Linked DNA regions of Arabidopsis thaliana. The protein of the gene in region 1 interacts with the protein of each later gene in a pairwise test. Each region holds a gene or a part of one and is shown in the gene's direction. Other genes may lie near its edges.

The links.
Region 2: the proteins of SCL30 (region 1) and AT5G25490 interact in a two-hybrid assay, tested with the Arabidopsis thaliana proteins (one large-scale study listed by BioGRID).

The regions. Positions count from the first base shown.
Region 1 is NC_003074.8:20,557,808-20,566,729, forward strand, and holds SCL30 (SC35-like splicing factor 30), read left to right. Parts: upstream 1-2,994; 5' UTR 2,995-3,095; intron 3,096-3,213; 5' UTR 3,214-3,216; coding exon 3,217-3,392; intron 3,393-3,492; coding exon 3,493-3,570; intron 3,571-4,670; coding exon 4,671-4,841; intron 4,842-4,982; coding exon 4,983-5,014; intron 5,015-5,196; coding exon 5,197-5,275; intron 5,276-5,357; coding exon 5,358-5,507; intron 5,508-5,592; coding exon 5,593-5,695; 3' UTR 5,696-6,078; downstream 6,079-8,922. Other genes in the region: PBL1 (PBS1-like 1), read left to right, coding at 322-400, 519-889, 982-1,117, 1,196-1,341, 1,421-1,544, 1,732-2,156; AT3G55470 (Calcium-dependent lipid-binding (CaLB domain) family protein), read left to right, coding at 6,549-6,615, 6,714-6,779, 7,748-7,889, 7,993-8,128, 8,226-8,285; PAT2 (protein affected trafficking 2), read right to left, coding at 8,565-8,919. UniProt on the Arabidopsis thaliana protein: Involved in intron recognition and spliceosome assembly. Probably active at the 5' splice sites.
Region 2 is NC_003076.8:8,872,920-8,880,031, forward strand, and holds AT5G25490 (Ran BP2/NZF zinc finger-like superfamily protein), read left to right. Parts: upstream 1-3,401; 5' UTR 3,402-3,617; intron 3,618-3,713; 5' UTR 3,714-3,719; coding exon 3,720-4,141; intron 4,142-4,329; coding exon 4,330-4,420; 3' UTR 4,421-4,455; exon of another isoform or gene 4,456-4,640; 3' UTR 4,641-4,985; downstream 4,986-7,112.

The DNA.
Region 1 (8,922 bases):
GAACTCGTTTATTATCTTTTGGTCAAAAATATAACTTTTGTCTGAATTCGTTTTTTTTTTGTTTGGACAAGAAAAAGACCTTTCTTCTTCCTTCGGTTGCCTCTACCATCTCATCAACACACATCTTCTCTTTCTCTTCTCTCATCCTCTCTCTTCTTCAGTGTTTACTTTTTCTCTTTCTCTTTTTTTTTTCTCTTTATTATTTCGCTTTAATGAGTTTTATCTGATAGAATCTGCTCCACCCAAAAACAGCATAAGAAGAAATTCATTGTCAGAGAAAAGTGCAAAAAAAAAAAACGATCTTCTTCATCATTCTACTAAATGGGTTCTTGTCTCAGTTCTCGTGTCCTTAGTACGTTCTCTACAATTCTCCATCTCCCATTTTTTTTTTTTTTTTTTTGTGATTCACACATGTGTATCTCTTCAAATCCGTGATCTTTTTGGTTAATCGATAATGGCTTTTAAGAAAAGGAATGAAATTTGCAAGAATCTTCTTCCTGTGATCTAACTGAATAAAGTTTTCCCCTTTTTTGGCGTTCTCTCAATTTTGACTGTGGTCAACGCTTTTGTGTGTTGTGCAGATAAGAGCAGTAGTGGTCTCGATGATCTTCATCTCTCGAGCTGTAAATCTTCATCATCAGCTACAGCTCATAAGACAGAAGGAGAAATCCTTAGCTCAACGACCGTCAAAAGCTTTAGCTTTAATGAACTTAAACTCGCTACTAGAAACTTCAGATCGGACTCTGTTGTTGGAGAAGGTGGCTTTGGTTGTGTCTTTAGAGGTTGGCTTGATGAGACTACTCTTACTCCTACCAAATCTAGCTCTGGTCTTGTTATTGCTGTTAAACGACTTAACCCTGATGGTTTTCAAGGTCACCGAGAATGGCTGGTACAACACTTGTTTCTTATCTTTGATTTATAACACTCTTTTGTTTTTGTGTGTGTAGGTTCTGATATTGATCTTTTTTTTTGTGGTTTCAGACAGAGATTAACTATTTGGGGCAGTTAAGTCACCCGAATTTGGTTAAATTGATTGGTTATTGCTTGGAAGATGAACAACGGCTTCTTGTGTATGAGTTTATGCACAAGGGTAGTCTTGAGAATCATCTGTTTGCAAGTGAGTCTTTGATCTCGTCCATGTTTTGTGAAACTTTGAGAGGTTGTTTGTTCTTATGTTTGAATGATTTTTTTGAAGATGGAAATAAGGATTTTAAGCCGCTATCTTGGATTCTACGGATTAAGGTTGCACTTGATGCAGCTAAAGGTCTTGCATTTCTTCATAGTGATCCCGTCAAAGTCATTTACAGAGACATCAAGGCGTCAAACATCTTACTGGACTCGGTATTCTTCTCTTTCGATGTCTACTTGTTGTCTTTATCAACGACTTAAAAGATACTGAGTTTTGTCTTTCAAACAACAGGACTTCAACGCAAAGCTTTCAGACTTTGGTTTAGCGAGAGACGGTCCAATGGGAGAACAAAGTTATGTTAGTACAAGGGTCATGGGTACTTTTGGGTACGCAGCTCCTGAGTATGTCTCAACAGGTACATTCTGTCACTAAGATATGATGCAAGTAATAATGGTTGGATAAGAAAATGTAAGACTGTTGCATGGTGCCTAACACTGGTTTTTAATGTAAATTTGAAGATAGCAACTATAAAATTTATGTGGTTAAAGGAGCATATGGGTTGATAGCTAGTTTCGTTCTCTCATCTTTCTATCTTTTTTCAGGCCACTTAAATGCTAGAAGCGACGTATACAGTTTCGGGGTTGTTCTGCTAGAACTACTATGTGGAAGGCAAGCACTAGACCATAACCGCCCGGCCAAGGAGCAAAACCTTGTGGATTGGGCTCGACCATACCTCACAAGCAGGCGAAAGGTTCTACTAATTGTGGACACTCGGCTTAACTCACAGTACAAACCCGAAGGAGCAGTGAGACTGGCAAGCATTGCTGTGCAATGCCTATCATTCGAACCCAAATCACGTCCGACCATGGACCAAGTGGTTCGAGCCTTGGTACAGCTGCAAGACAGCGTGGTTAAACCGGCCAATGTTGACCCGCTTAAGGTTAAGGATACCAAGAAACTTGTGGGATTGAAAACAGAAGACAAGTACCAGAGAAACGGTTTAAACAAAAAAACCGTTGGATTGTAGTAGGTAGAGGGAAATATAAGGTTACTTGGTTAGGTACTCTTCATGTCTTCTTCTTGTGTATTGTAATATTGTGCGAAGTGATTTTGACATTTTGTAACACTGCTTATAGTTTTGCTCCTGAAATATTCGATTTGGAGATACTTGTTTTCTCTCTATCTATAGTTTGGTGATATATGCCAAAATGTGGTAGTGATCAATTCCACTCTCTTCTAACATTTTAGTTTACTATATATGTAACTAATTTCTGTCAAGTTGATTTGTTTTTATGAAAATGACTTTAATTAGTATAGTTGATGATTGAATCATAAATAACTTGTAGCCAAAAACAGACAGAATAGTACAACAAACTCATAATGTAACATTAATATCAATTCCGAAGTTCACAAAATACCATAAATATCAAATTCCATGAACATTGTCATCAACCAGAAATAAATAAATTTTACGTTAATTAAGCCAAAATGGATCTCGAGTTAAATCAATATCAATAACTATTCAACATAGCCAAATAAGTCACTATTTTAGAACAAGAACTAACTCAATTTGAGGTTTTCAAAATTCCTATATCAATTTAGAACGAGAATCTCCAAAACACAAGTCACCTCAGTAAACTTATATATTTAAGGGTTACTTTGTTTTTGTCATAAATGTTAAAAGTTACTAAAACTGTTTTTTCCCCAATTTTTTTTACTGTTTCTCTAATTGTCAACAATCAACAATCTTTCCCTTTTTCCATTTAAAAAAACATACGCGAAAAAGGAAAAAACGCGATAAGGCCAAAAGCCCATTTAATAAATGGGCCAAGCTCTCCGATCAATAGAAAAAGATCTGTCTTCTTCTTCTCTATTCTCTGATCTCTCATAAGAAGGGCTTAGGGTTCACTTCAGATCTGTCTTTGAACATTGCTACTCTCAAGTGATCAAATTAACTCCGTCGCAGGTAAATTCCACAATCCTCCGACCGTAAACCCTAATTTATCACTGTTCTTCCAAGAAACAAGTTTTTGTTTTGATGAAATTGAGGATCTTGCGTTGAAATCGTTTTGTTTCTATGGTAGGTGATGAGGAGATACAGTCCGCCTTATTACAGTCCTCCGAGGAGAGGATACGGTGGTCGAGGTAGAAGTCCTCCTCCTCCTCCTCCTCGACGTGGATATGGTGGTGGTGGTGGTGGTGGTGGACGTAGAGGATCTAGCCATGGAAGTCTCTTGGTTCGTAACATTCCTCTTGATTGCAGGTAAATTCTCTTCCTTTGGTTTAAAGTTTTGATTTTGTTTTAGTTTATCTTTGAAGATTTCGTTGGGTTGTTGTTGATTTTGTTGTTTTTGATTTTGTAGACCAGAAGAGCTTCGTGAGCCCTTTGAGAGGTTTGGACCTGTGAGAGATGTCTATATCCCCAGAGACTATTACTCAGGGTAAGCCTCCTCTTTCCTTCTCGATATCTTGATCTTTTTCACTGTACCTGAAATTTGTGCTGCGAATTATGTCTTTTGAGGTGTGAATCTTTTATAGATGGACTAGTTAGGTAATGGCTTAGCATATGATTCTTGTTTTCCTGTAGAATTTGCTTTCTTTACGATTGAAAAATGCTGTCTAAACACTTTGCTGCTTCACATTCAATGCTGAACCATTTGTTTTGATTAAAAAGGATGTTCATAAGTCTTCAACTTGTGCACAAAGTGAGGAAAATTGCAAGTGACATATGAGTTTTGAATTTTGATTTTGGCGCAACCTGTGCATGTTACTTTTTTTATACACTCCACTTTTTGATCGAGCTAAGTTCTCGAGGTGAGAAGAGGTCCTTTTGGTTGAGTTCTCGATTTTTTCAGAGCTTTTTGTTTTGGAGTTCTTTTTTTCATAGTAAATTAAACATTCCACTGATTTCCCAGGGGGTATGTTGGCTTGAAGTTAAAACAAGACCAAGCCCCACATTTGATGAAGGCCTCATGAAAAAAATCTTAACTTAAGGATATTAAGGGTCATTTCAAATCAAGAATGTTTTGTTTGGAAGCAAGTTATATGTGAAGCATGTTTTATTTGGAAGGAAGTATTAAGTGAAGAATATTTTGTTTGGAAGCAAGTAATAAGTGAAGAATGTTTTGTTTGGAAGCAAGTAGTAAGTGAAGAATGTTCTGAATGGAAGCAGTAATAAGTGAAGCATGTTCTTTATGAAGCTATACAGTAAATTACTCAAAACCTTAGAAGTTTTTTGGGGAAGACGACCTGAAGAGAACTTAAGTTTGGGATCAAGTGCATCTTATTTTTACAAGATGCTTGCCTCTTTTCGAGTTGATATGCTTGAACTGTTATGAAAGGGTCAGCTACTAATCATATTAGCGTAAGTAGAACTCTGCTTTTCTTAGAAGTTCTCACACGATGACGTTTACTTAGAAGTTCTCAGAAGCTGTAGAATGTAGGCTGATTTTGCTGGTAATTCTAGATTTATCTGGTGTTTTGTGCATTTGCTTTCAACCATCAACCACTTGGAATGATAAGCTTCTGATAAATGATGCAGGCAACCGCGGGGGTTTGCGTTTGTGGAGTTTGTTGATGCATATGATGCTGGGGAGGCTCAAAGAAGCATGAACAGGAGAAGCTTTGCTGGAAGAGAGATAACGGTGGTTGTTGCTTCAGAGTCTAGGAAAAGGCCTGAAGAGATGCGTGTGAAGACTAGGACTCGTAGTAGGTAAGTTTCCATATTTCTGATTGCTTAAGCAAAAGAGTTATCAATCAAATCGCTCTTCGTGATTAATGCTCTGCAAGTTATCCATCATTTATGAAAAGAAGTTGAGAAGGAAATAATCGTTGCGTTGTCTCAATTTTTCAGGGAACCTTCAGGCTCCAGGGATCGTTCTCATGGTTAGTAATTTTCTCTCTGGTTATGCACATGTTATGTTCTATACCAGCAAAGTTTACACAAATATTAGCACAGCTAGATTGGGACGCACTTGTTTATACACAGCTTGAGAAAGCACTTGTTTATACATGTTCTCATGGTTTGTATACACAGCTTGAGTATGTTTATGATTTTTTGTTCTCAGGACGGTCTCGTTCACGTTCAATCTCTCGATCACGTTCTCCACGTCGTCCGTCAGATTCTAGAAGCAGATACCGATCAAGGTAACATGCTTCATCACACATACATTTCCATCATCATCAAGTCAACAAGAAGTATATATGGTTTTAGATAATGGTGTTACAGGTCTTACTCTCCTGCACCAAGACGAAGAGGAGGTCCTCCTCGTGGGGAAGAAGATGAAAATTACAGTCGTAGGTCCTACTCCCCTGGCTATGAAGGTGCTGCTGCTGCTGCTCCAGATCGGGACAGAAATGGAGACAATGAGATTAGAGAGTAAGTGAAACATGGTGTCTGATTTGTTTTGCCCCTGAAGATTGTGTCTGATTTTTCGTATCTGGACATTGATTGGTCTTAATAGAAAACCGGGCTATGAAGCAGAGGATAGACGTCGTGGTGGAAGAGCAGTTTCAAGGTCGCCATCAGGATCCAGGTCCAGGTCTGTGGAGGTATCTCCAAGATGAAACTTATGTGAAGAAGTGGCCGACCAAAACTTTGTGCAACGCTTTATGGGTTTTGCATTTCTCTAGTAGTGCGTCTCTGTGTCTTTAAAAACTCCTTACTCTGGCTTGTCAAAGATATTTTGTCTTGTGATGTGATGTTACTTGAAATCGGTTTCGGTTTATGGGTCTTATTATAAAATTGTATGAAGAAGATTGGTTATGCTTTTGATGTGAGACAGGTTTAAAACCCACAATGAGCGAGTAAACCAAGTCTTCTCTCGTATGGTCGAGGTCGAGAATTGCGACCTTTTTTTGTTCTCGAGCAGCCTTTGCAGATATTTAATTAGGAAAGTCAGGTCTAAGAATTTCTGAGAAGAAGAGAATAAAAAGACTCATTCATCTAGAAGAAGCCATAATGATGTTTTATTGGGTCTGTTTTGATCAAAAGTCCAAAGACTTCTACTTTTAATTGGGTTCGTATACATTTTTCAAGCAGCCAAGAGTCTTTCCTTAAACTAAGTAAGGGTAAGATGGTCATTTTAGCTTAGTTGACCAGACTTATAAACTTTAGGTTTTGCCTCCTGTTACGTAATAATGGTTTGGTTTGGTTTGATCAAGTCTTGGAACCACGACGCAGGTTATGTTTGAAAATTGAAAAAGAGTAAATAAGAATAGTAAAAAATCATTATGTGAACGAGAAAGTCTGCGTGTTCTTGCTTCTGTATTTAAAGACTTTGTCTGACACATCCACTTCATCAATCGTTTCTCTTTCTCCTTCTTCTTCTTCTTCTTCTTCTTCTTCTTCTTCTTCTTCTTCTTCTTTTTCTTTAGAAACAACACAAACCCCAAAAACTTAAAAAATAACTCTACAGAGATGGCTGTTGGAATCCTTGAGGTTAGTCTGATCAGTGGCAAAGGTCTCAAGCGCTCTGATTTTCTTGGTAATGATCTCTCTATTCTCTCAGATTTCGTATCCTTTGATCATTTAAAAAACCCTTTTACAACAATTTATATTTTTCTTGGTTTTGTATGATTGTAGGTAAGATAGATCCATATGTTGAGATCCAATACAAAGGGCAAACCCGCAAAAGCAGCGTTGCTAAAGGTAATTTAACTTGCTAGTTTCCTTCTTTCCATATTTCCAAATCTCTATCAGCTTAATTCGGGTTATTTCGTTTGACTTTTTTTTTCGTTTTATGCGAGAGAGACTATTTCTCCAATTTCATCATTTTCTTTTCTATATACTTGGACTTTAGGAATAAAAAGCCCACATGCTGGTGTTAGTTGATGGTTGTACATAAAGTAAATAATAGTTGCAACTTGCATCCATTGGTATTTCAACTATCCTCATAGCCATTACATGGTAGCTTAGGCTATACTATTTATTCGCGTTTTGATAACATTCATTATCTTTTATCAGTTATAACATTCATCAGGTTTTTACGTTCTGATGATGCATAAGTTATATAAATGCATGTTTTAAAAGTGTAACTTGAAAATAAAACAATCAATTTTCCAAAAACTAGCTAACTATTGTTCGTGATTATTCGGCAAAATTTGTTCATCCCAACTCTCAAATGCTTTCCGCTACTTTTATCATTTCACTATTTGTCATTACACTATTTTATATTTTGAGACATTTTGTGGTAGCTTGCAAGTTTGTTTTCATGTATATGGTTTAAATCTTGAAAAATGTTGTGTATGGATAGAGCTTTCTTCTGAAAGTAGTCATCTCATTTAGTGTGATATTGTCTGGCCAACCTTATTTTTAACTAATCACCAACTAATACACCAAACTACTAGCTATAAGAAATAATATTTTCATTTCCTACAAAAATGGGTAGTGAAATGTGAAAACTACTGTGATGTAAACAATCCTCGCTAGACTTGGTTAATGTTTTACTGAAGAAAATGGTGTTTTAGTGAGATATTGATTGCACGGCTTTAATCAAACGGCTTTTGTCTACTTTACCAATAACGGATCAAACTGGACAATGTTCTTTTCTCATTATCATATTTCATGTACAAACATCGTTTATCAAATTTTCATCTTTTTTGTTTACTTAAATGAAGAAGATGGAGGTAGAAATCCGACATGGAATGATAAATTGAAATGGAGAGCAGAGTTTCCTGGCTCCGGCGCCGACTACAAACTCATCGTCAAAGTCATGGATCATGATACTTTCTCCTCTGACGATTTCATTGGCGAAGCCACGTACGTATATCACATAACATGATAGCCCTAAACTATACATAACTGAAATCGAAAAGAAAAAAAGAATATGGACTAATCTTGATTAATGGAAATGAATAAATAGGGTACATGTGAAAGAGCTATTGGAAATGGGAGTGGAGAAGGGAACGGCGGAGCTAAGGCCAACCAAGTACAACATTGTTGACTCCGATCTCTCCTTTGTCGGCGAGCTTCTCATTGGAGTTTCTTACTCTCTTTTGGTTAGTTTCTTTTTACTTTTACTTTCTTTTTTTTTAACTAAAATTTATTTACTCTCTGATTGAAGTAAACTCTTTACTTTTTGTTGGGAATTTTCAGCAAGACAGGGGAATGGATGGAGAACAGTTTGGAGGATGGAAGCATAGCCAAGTTGATTAGTTTGGTTTCTTAAAACTGCTGATTTTATCTTCTTCTTCTATCTTTAGTGTCAACATCATTAAGATATTCATAAGTACAAAAAATTATTTAAATTAAAATGTATCATGATTTGTTGGTTGTGGGGAATCTTCTTGATTTAGTAAGAGCATGTGTATGAAATTGAAATCTCATTGTATTTATAATTTATATTTTACATAAATGTATCAAAATAATGTTATAAAAAAAAGGATTGGTAACATTTTCACAAGGTGACAAAAAAAAGATCCTCAGTTTTGATGATCAAGTGGCTGAAGAAGACGGCTCAACCATGAAATTAGCTATCCTGTTCAACAGGTTTAAACCAAAAACCGTTTCTTCGCAATTGATCTTGACTGTTAAATTCAGAACTTCGGTGCATTTGCCTTCGACTGTGATGGTAATCAAAAGAGGGATCTCACTGCTCAAGATTTTGCTGCTGAATCTTAATCGCAGACCAGTTGCATCTTCGAGTGAGTTTGCAACTGGTAAATCCACAGATACAAGGTGTAGATTTGAGTTGCTAAGCACCTTTAGTGTTATACTCTCGCAGATGCTAAGAAATTTGTCTTTCCCATTCTCCGTTCTTGAATCTTTAACATGATCGTCAAAAGTACACCTA
Region 2 (7,112 bases), on another chromosome or scaffold:
ACGCGAACACGGAACCTACAAACACTATCTATTTGATCTCCATTCATATGCGAGGAATTAATTACTCTTGCATTATTGATCATATGTAAGTAGATAAATTAACTTTCTAAAAACATTTCGGTCGCCATCGTATTAGTTGAGATTTTTGATTACTACTTATGTAAGTGCGGATGAGGTAATAATAAAGTGCAGAAAGTAAAGAGATAAGAAATTTGTTAACGAGGTTCGGTTTTTCCTACTCCCCGGGACCACGTCCAGATTTCGATTTCACTAGAACAAGAAAGCAAATTACAATGAATTCGCAAACGCGTAAAACAAGCACACCCCTCTTGATTTACCGCTCCCTTCTATAAACGTGAAACCTTAAGGATAATCTCTACCCTTAACTAAACTCCCCTGAGTCTAGATTTAATCAGGATAACCTAACCCTGAGTTAAACTCCTTCTGAGCCTAGACTTCAATTCTCCAAGTCTCTGGAATAACCTTCACGCACCAACAAACAAGCTTGATCACACAAGCACCAAACCCGCGAAACTATGTCGCATAAAACCGTGAAACTATGTCGCACACACCCTTAGAAAGCTCTCAATGATTTGTCTTTATGTCTCAGCTCTCCTGCCTCTCCAAGACGTCCTACCTCCTCCTTATGTAGCCAAAACGATTTCCTAATCACCATAGGAGAAGATTTCCTTTTTCCATAAGAAAAAGTAAATTTACTCTTATCCTTTTTCTCATCAAACTCCACTTTCATCAAGTCTTCCAAATCTCTTTAAGTCCTTTTTCTTTTTTGATTCATCCTCTAAACACGCTCTTCTCAAATCTTCTAGAAACCGATACTCACACAAAACTGTCGCATCCTGAATTATTTCTTGAATCATTCAGCAATTTTATCAGATAAAATCATGTATTACTTCTTGTATCATTCAACACTTTCATCAGCAGCAGCTACATCTTCAACTTAGTCCTGTAATTTATTTTCTTAACATACAATTGAATTCAGCTAATCGTCCTTGCGAATGATCAAATGCATAGATAATTGTATCATCCTAAATAAAAGACGTGGGGAAATCATATGACATCTAGAACTTTGGAGAAGGGGGAGATAAGTGATGATGCATGGAAGCATTTCCCAAAGATAATCGAATAGATTCTCTCTTTTCTTTTGTGTTCGTCAGTTTTTCTTTACCATTCCCCGAGACAATATGGTGGGTTTATTAATTATTTTGATTCTTCTATAATTCTTCCCATTATTTTTATATATTCTTTTTAAGTTACCCATTCTTTTTTCTTCAATGTCGAGACGTCGAGTTAGTTAGCTTTTACGGCGACTTATGGATAAGGCATTACGCTCGGAGCCATGGACTGAGTTGGATAGATATAATGCGTATAATATTTAATCCCCATAACCTATATTTTAATTCCTATACATTGTAATGGTAGCATCTCAACTTTAAGGTTAGAGTTGGAACCTTAAAGTTTATGAATATTACAAAACACTTGTATGGGGGTGGAGTGCATGAAAATTAGAGCTGGGATGTATATATGGGAATATATATGCACTACATTATCTTACATTTTACATTGAAAAAATATTAGAAGATATTGTTCTTCATTTATTTAAGTATATTTTTACTGCTGGTGTATTCTACTGCCCTATATATATCTCGAAAGTTAAATAAATTCATATGTTATATAACTTTTAGTCATTCGTGGCATTCTTCTGTTACATCTTACTGTGGATTTTTCGTCTTATTATCTTATAGCTGACTCTTACTTTAGAGAGACAAGTATACCACAATGGAAAGGGTGATTTGACGGTAAAAAAAGCGATTGCAGTGTACCCACAAACGACAATTTATAATTTGTATGTGGGATATATAGTAAGGGAAATAAAAATCATAGGGTTAAATAGAAAAAGTGAATGAAACTGTCTTGTAGTTGTAGTAGACGAATCAAAAGGACACGTAGATGGTCAAGATACGAACCTCAAAGCCTTTTCCCTCCCATTTAATGATTCTTGTTTTTGTTTTAATCTATAATTTTTCATGATTTTCTTAAGTCTTTGTTTTGAAAATCACGAACGAATAAGTTCTGATGGATGTACTTGAATATTAGTAACAAGACTAATTGAATTAAAGAAAAGAGAAGTTATTCCTTTGACGTTTATAATTTTCCGCGGCTAAGGGAACATATACGTTCCTTGAAACTGTTGCCATGCAACTTTTGCTTTAACAGTTTAGAGAGTTTTTTACTTCATGCTACATCCTTTTTCTCCTGACACACACAAGAGCATATTATACATCCATGTACCTCCTCCATCGACCATCAATATATAGATACATGTGATTATTAATTATCTACATAAAAAGTTATACCACGAAGTTGCGATTGATAATATGAAAGTGGTACATGCTCGAAATAGATAATGAGAATATATCAGCTTTAGTTGTCTCATCGTTAGTCAATCTATATGTGCATATACAGTTAACAAGAAATCTATAAGCATATACGAACTGGGGTCCCAATAAGGTCTAAGAATCTTTTTTTTCTTTTTTTCTTTTCTTTGCTTTGCTTTAGTTTAGTTTGTGAAATTTAGTGAAAATTTCATTTTGTCTCATAGAGAAACCACATGTTAGTCAAAAATTATATAGTAAGTCCAAGAAAACTATATTAATATACCCATATTACCATATAGTCGGAGATTTCTAGTATCTCTAGTTTAGTTCTTCTTATTCATTATCAATTCAAGTGTTATAAAACCTCGAGACCAATAAAATAGGATTCACTCTCCTTCGTGCCCCCAAAGATATAGGTTTACATATCTATATTTCCACACCACCATTTTAAAAGCAAGAGTTAATTAAAGAGATATTTTTTAGTCATCTTGGTATGTAATCTGGTAAACTTTTTAGTTTGTTATCTTGTATAAACAACCAGTAAGATTTTGGTTCTTTTGTAAATACTTCTCTTTGAATTTAGGACTAGTGTTTTAAAATTACTTTCCTCCCATATTTTTGTTTTGATCTTTCAATTTAAATTAAAAGTTCGTTTACAACCCATGCATGCACACTTCCGAATTTAAACTCGGATTATAATTTGGCACTATAATAATCTATTAGAATACGTCTTGATTAATTTTAAAATATTTAGGTGTCTTAAAATAAGTACGTACGTTGATAAATATGGAGATATATACATCTGTCAAGTAAATGGTATTGAATTTGCCAGTATTAGCTTTTGTGAAGCTGACGCAAAATGAAAACGGCTGATATCTAAAGCTTTAACCTTGTGTTTCTTTTTTTTGTTTAAAATAGTGGGGTCTAGAAATGATAAATTAATTTAAAGTCCTCGATATATATAAATAGATAAATTTGTTTCTTTTGGGAATAACGTAGTTTACGGAGAAACCCAAATGTTAAAGGGAAATGCATTAAAGCTGTAGCAAAATAAGAAAGTAAAAACCAATTGAAACCCTAATTTCACTTCAAAAAATGTTCCCGGTTGTTAAAGGAAGGGCCTTTTGCTTTGTCCATATAAATATATTGTGAGAGTACAACAACACCTTCATAAGCTCTTACACTCATTTCAACTCTCTTTTTCGTTTCCATTACCCTCAGGTAATCATAACATATATATAAGTTACATTTGTAGATACATATGTCTTTAGTTTTGTGTAATTTGTTACTTAATTATTATTTTCTATGGTGTTGTAGAAGAAGATGAATAGGCCGGGAGATTGGAACTGCAGATTGTGTAGCCACCTCAACTTCCAGAGGAGGGATTCATGCCAACGTTGTAGAGAGCCTAGACCGGGCGGGATCAGTACCGATTTACTCAGCGGTTTTGGTGGCCGTCCGGTTAGTAGCTCCTTCGGTTTCAACACCGGGCCCGATGTGCGACCCGGGGATTGGTATTGCAACCTTGGGGATTGTGGGACACATAATTTTGCCAATAGGTCCAGTTGTTTCAAGTGTGGTGCCGCAAAAGATGAGTTTTCATGCTCAAGTGCTGCTGCAACAACCGGGTTTATGGACATGAATGTTGGTCCGAGACGTGGCCTTTTTGGTTTTGGCGGCAGCAGTAGTGGTGGTGGTGGTACGGGCCGTTCTCCTTGGAAATCTGGAGATTGGATTTGCCCAAGGTACTTTTTTGTTTGATTGTTTCTATGTATTGATGTTATTTTTTTGCAATAATATGTTTTGATGGTTAAAACTTAAAGCCAAAAAAGAAACATGCATGCTGGCTTACGTAAGCTAAACACGACCGTTTAAATTGTATTAATGTATATGCATATCGTAGAAACTGATTGGTTTAATTTGTATATTATAGGTCAGGCTGTAACGAACATAACTTCGCAAGCAGGTCAGAGTGTTTCAGGTGTAACGCACCAAAGGAACTTGCCACCGAACCACCCTATTAGTCATTTAGTCCTCCTACCTTCTTCATCATTTCCAAGTACTTTTCGTTTCAACAATAGTCTTAACTTCTGATCAGAAACAGTTCGACATATATATTTGGATGATAGAATTTGTTAACATTTACAACTTTATTATATCGTAAAAGTTTAAATAGTAGTGTGAAATACACTAACGATAGTACTTTAACGTTAACGTACGTATCTTTTTGATTATTTTTTTTAGTACTCTGGAAGCATTAGAGGAGAGCAGAAAGGTGAAGAATCGAAGCAAGATACCGACCGCCCTTAATCTCTTGATTTGTTTAATTTCTTAGATTTGACTCGTTTTATATCTCGTAGTAGTCAGACCTATGTTAGAATGTAAGCATGTCGAGAGTTTTCCGAAGCATTTTGTTCTGATATCGGTCTCCTAGCTAGTATGTAAGTTTGTTTGAATGTATTCTTATTTCTGATAAAGTTGTTTCCTTCTGATTCCGCAATCACGATTCTCATCTAAGTTTGAAACACTTGAGTTGTTGAACGTACGAGAGGCTGAGAGCTGTTGAGAACTTCTTCTGTGGCCGCAAATCCAAATTGCATGCAAATGTTATTATATATGCAATTAAAATTTTGTTATATAATTTGTAGTAGGAATGTAGTTTTACGTTAAACCAAACACAAACTCTAGTAACCGTTTGAAATGGGTAGATGCATGGACCACAACGAAACCTTTTGTCCAATGCCTCAAAAAAAAATATGCATGAGCATTCATATTATGATGTGGCTTGGTGATAATGAGCTTACCACCAAATCGAATGAAAATGTATGAGTTCCACTCTAAAATGAGAATAGTTATCAGAAAATATTAATTATGTTATATATCATTAATTAGTTTAGAATTCTAATTTATTTTCTTGGTAACATTAAGTTGCAAAATTAATTTTAATTAAATACAAATACGGATTTCACTATATATTAAATTGCGTATTCAAGGCCATCTTTTCGCACATACATTCGAGCAGTCGAACAAAACCCATAAGAAGATTTTTGCAATGAAGTTTTGTCATAAACAACAATATTGCAACTGATCGATGACCGTTTCCTTAATTGTTTGTAATGGGTGGTATACTTAAAAATTTGTTTTCAAAATGTAAGTAAGAAAGAAAAAAATCAGTAACGCATTTTTCATATTTACCATTCAACTTTTGATCCTGCTTATTTTTGTACTGTTTGTTCCGTCTCGCAGTACTAATTAGAACTACACTTTTTTTGGTCAAAACACTAACTACATTTTTTTTGCTTGATCTACTACTCAATATATTTTTGTTTTTATCGCTCGTTCTATACTGCCACGTACGATTGAGACTCTAAAATAGAGCAAGCGTACGTTGGTACGTGTCCACACACACGTTGCATTTTGCATAGGATTCCAATTTACTGAACTCATGGAAGTGTAGTTAAGATTATCATCAACGGGTCAAAAAAAAAAAAGACAACCAGTCTTTAATGTCTGCTACTATAATCCATTGCTTAGCTTTTATTTTTTCGTTAAAGGGTTGCACTAATTGGCTTTTTACTAAAGAATCTTTCGTTTTTCCCCCACTTTGAAGTCAATTCATCATTTGATTCTTCTTTGGTTTTAGTGAAGTGAAAGTACGTCTTAGGTATGATTATCATGCATGCATCATAGTGAACGTCTTCCCACTTTGAATTTCAAAACTATCAATTATTAGATTCGATTTAGATATGAATATATAATAATAGTATTTCAAAATGCATAAATTAGGTTGTGAATTGTAGACGATAAAATACAACCAGCTTAGTAATCTTCTTCTAATTATCAAATATATAGCATAATTCCTAAATCATATGTTTATTCTCATTAACTAACATAGTAGGTAATTCTGTTCATATGATTTAGCTAAATGCACGGTTTCATAATCACCTAAAGATCCATAAGCAATCATCAAATTACAATTAGTGTCAAACTAAGCACTACTTAAAATTCAGTGTTGGCGGAGAATAATATAAGACACATCTAATTACAATGGTAAGGATAGATGTGTGCAACAGTGCAAGTATATGTATAGCTTTAATCATAACTTATTAGTGTTTCTTTTAATGAGCAAATGAGAGAGACTTGTCGATGACCAATCTAAGTAAAGTGTACATCACTTGTTAAATAAACAAATATATTCTTACTGTTAAAGTCAATTTTTATAACAAAAGCAATAGCAAAGATAACTTTTTATCCATTTCAAAAACACCCTTACACAACGCTAATAAATTCTTAAATTTTGGGAAAAATTGCGGTAACTTTTATAAAAGTTTTAAAATTTATCTTTAACCCACATAAAAAAGCAAAGCATGTTCATCTTTCTAAGCCCTTTTTTTCTTAGCCCTTCTTTCTTTTGTTTCACATTTCCACATTCTTCCTAATAATTTCTATCTTTATGCAAAGCACACAATTGACATGGATGGAGCATATGCATATGTATTTGATGAAAACTTATTTTCTGGTACAGTATAATTCCACCAGAAAATTGAAGCCTCCACACGAATATTGTTTTTTTTTTTTTCTTTTTTTTTTACAAGATGTGATATACATAATGATTTAAATTTGATTGGTGACACGTTAACGACACTAAGACAGATTGTGAGTTTCCACGTGAGTTTGTTATCAAAGTATTTGTTTAACATTTGAGGACTCAAGATT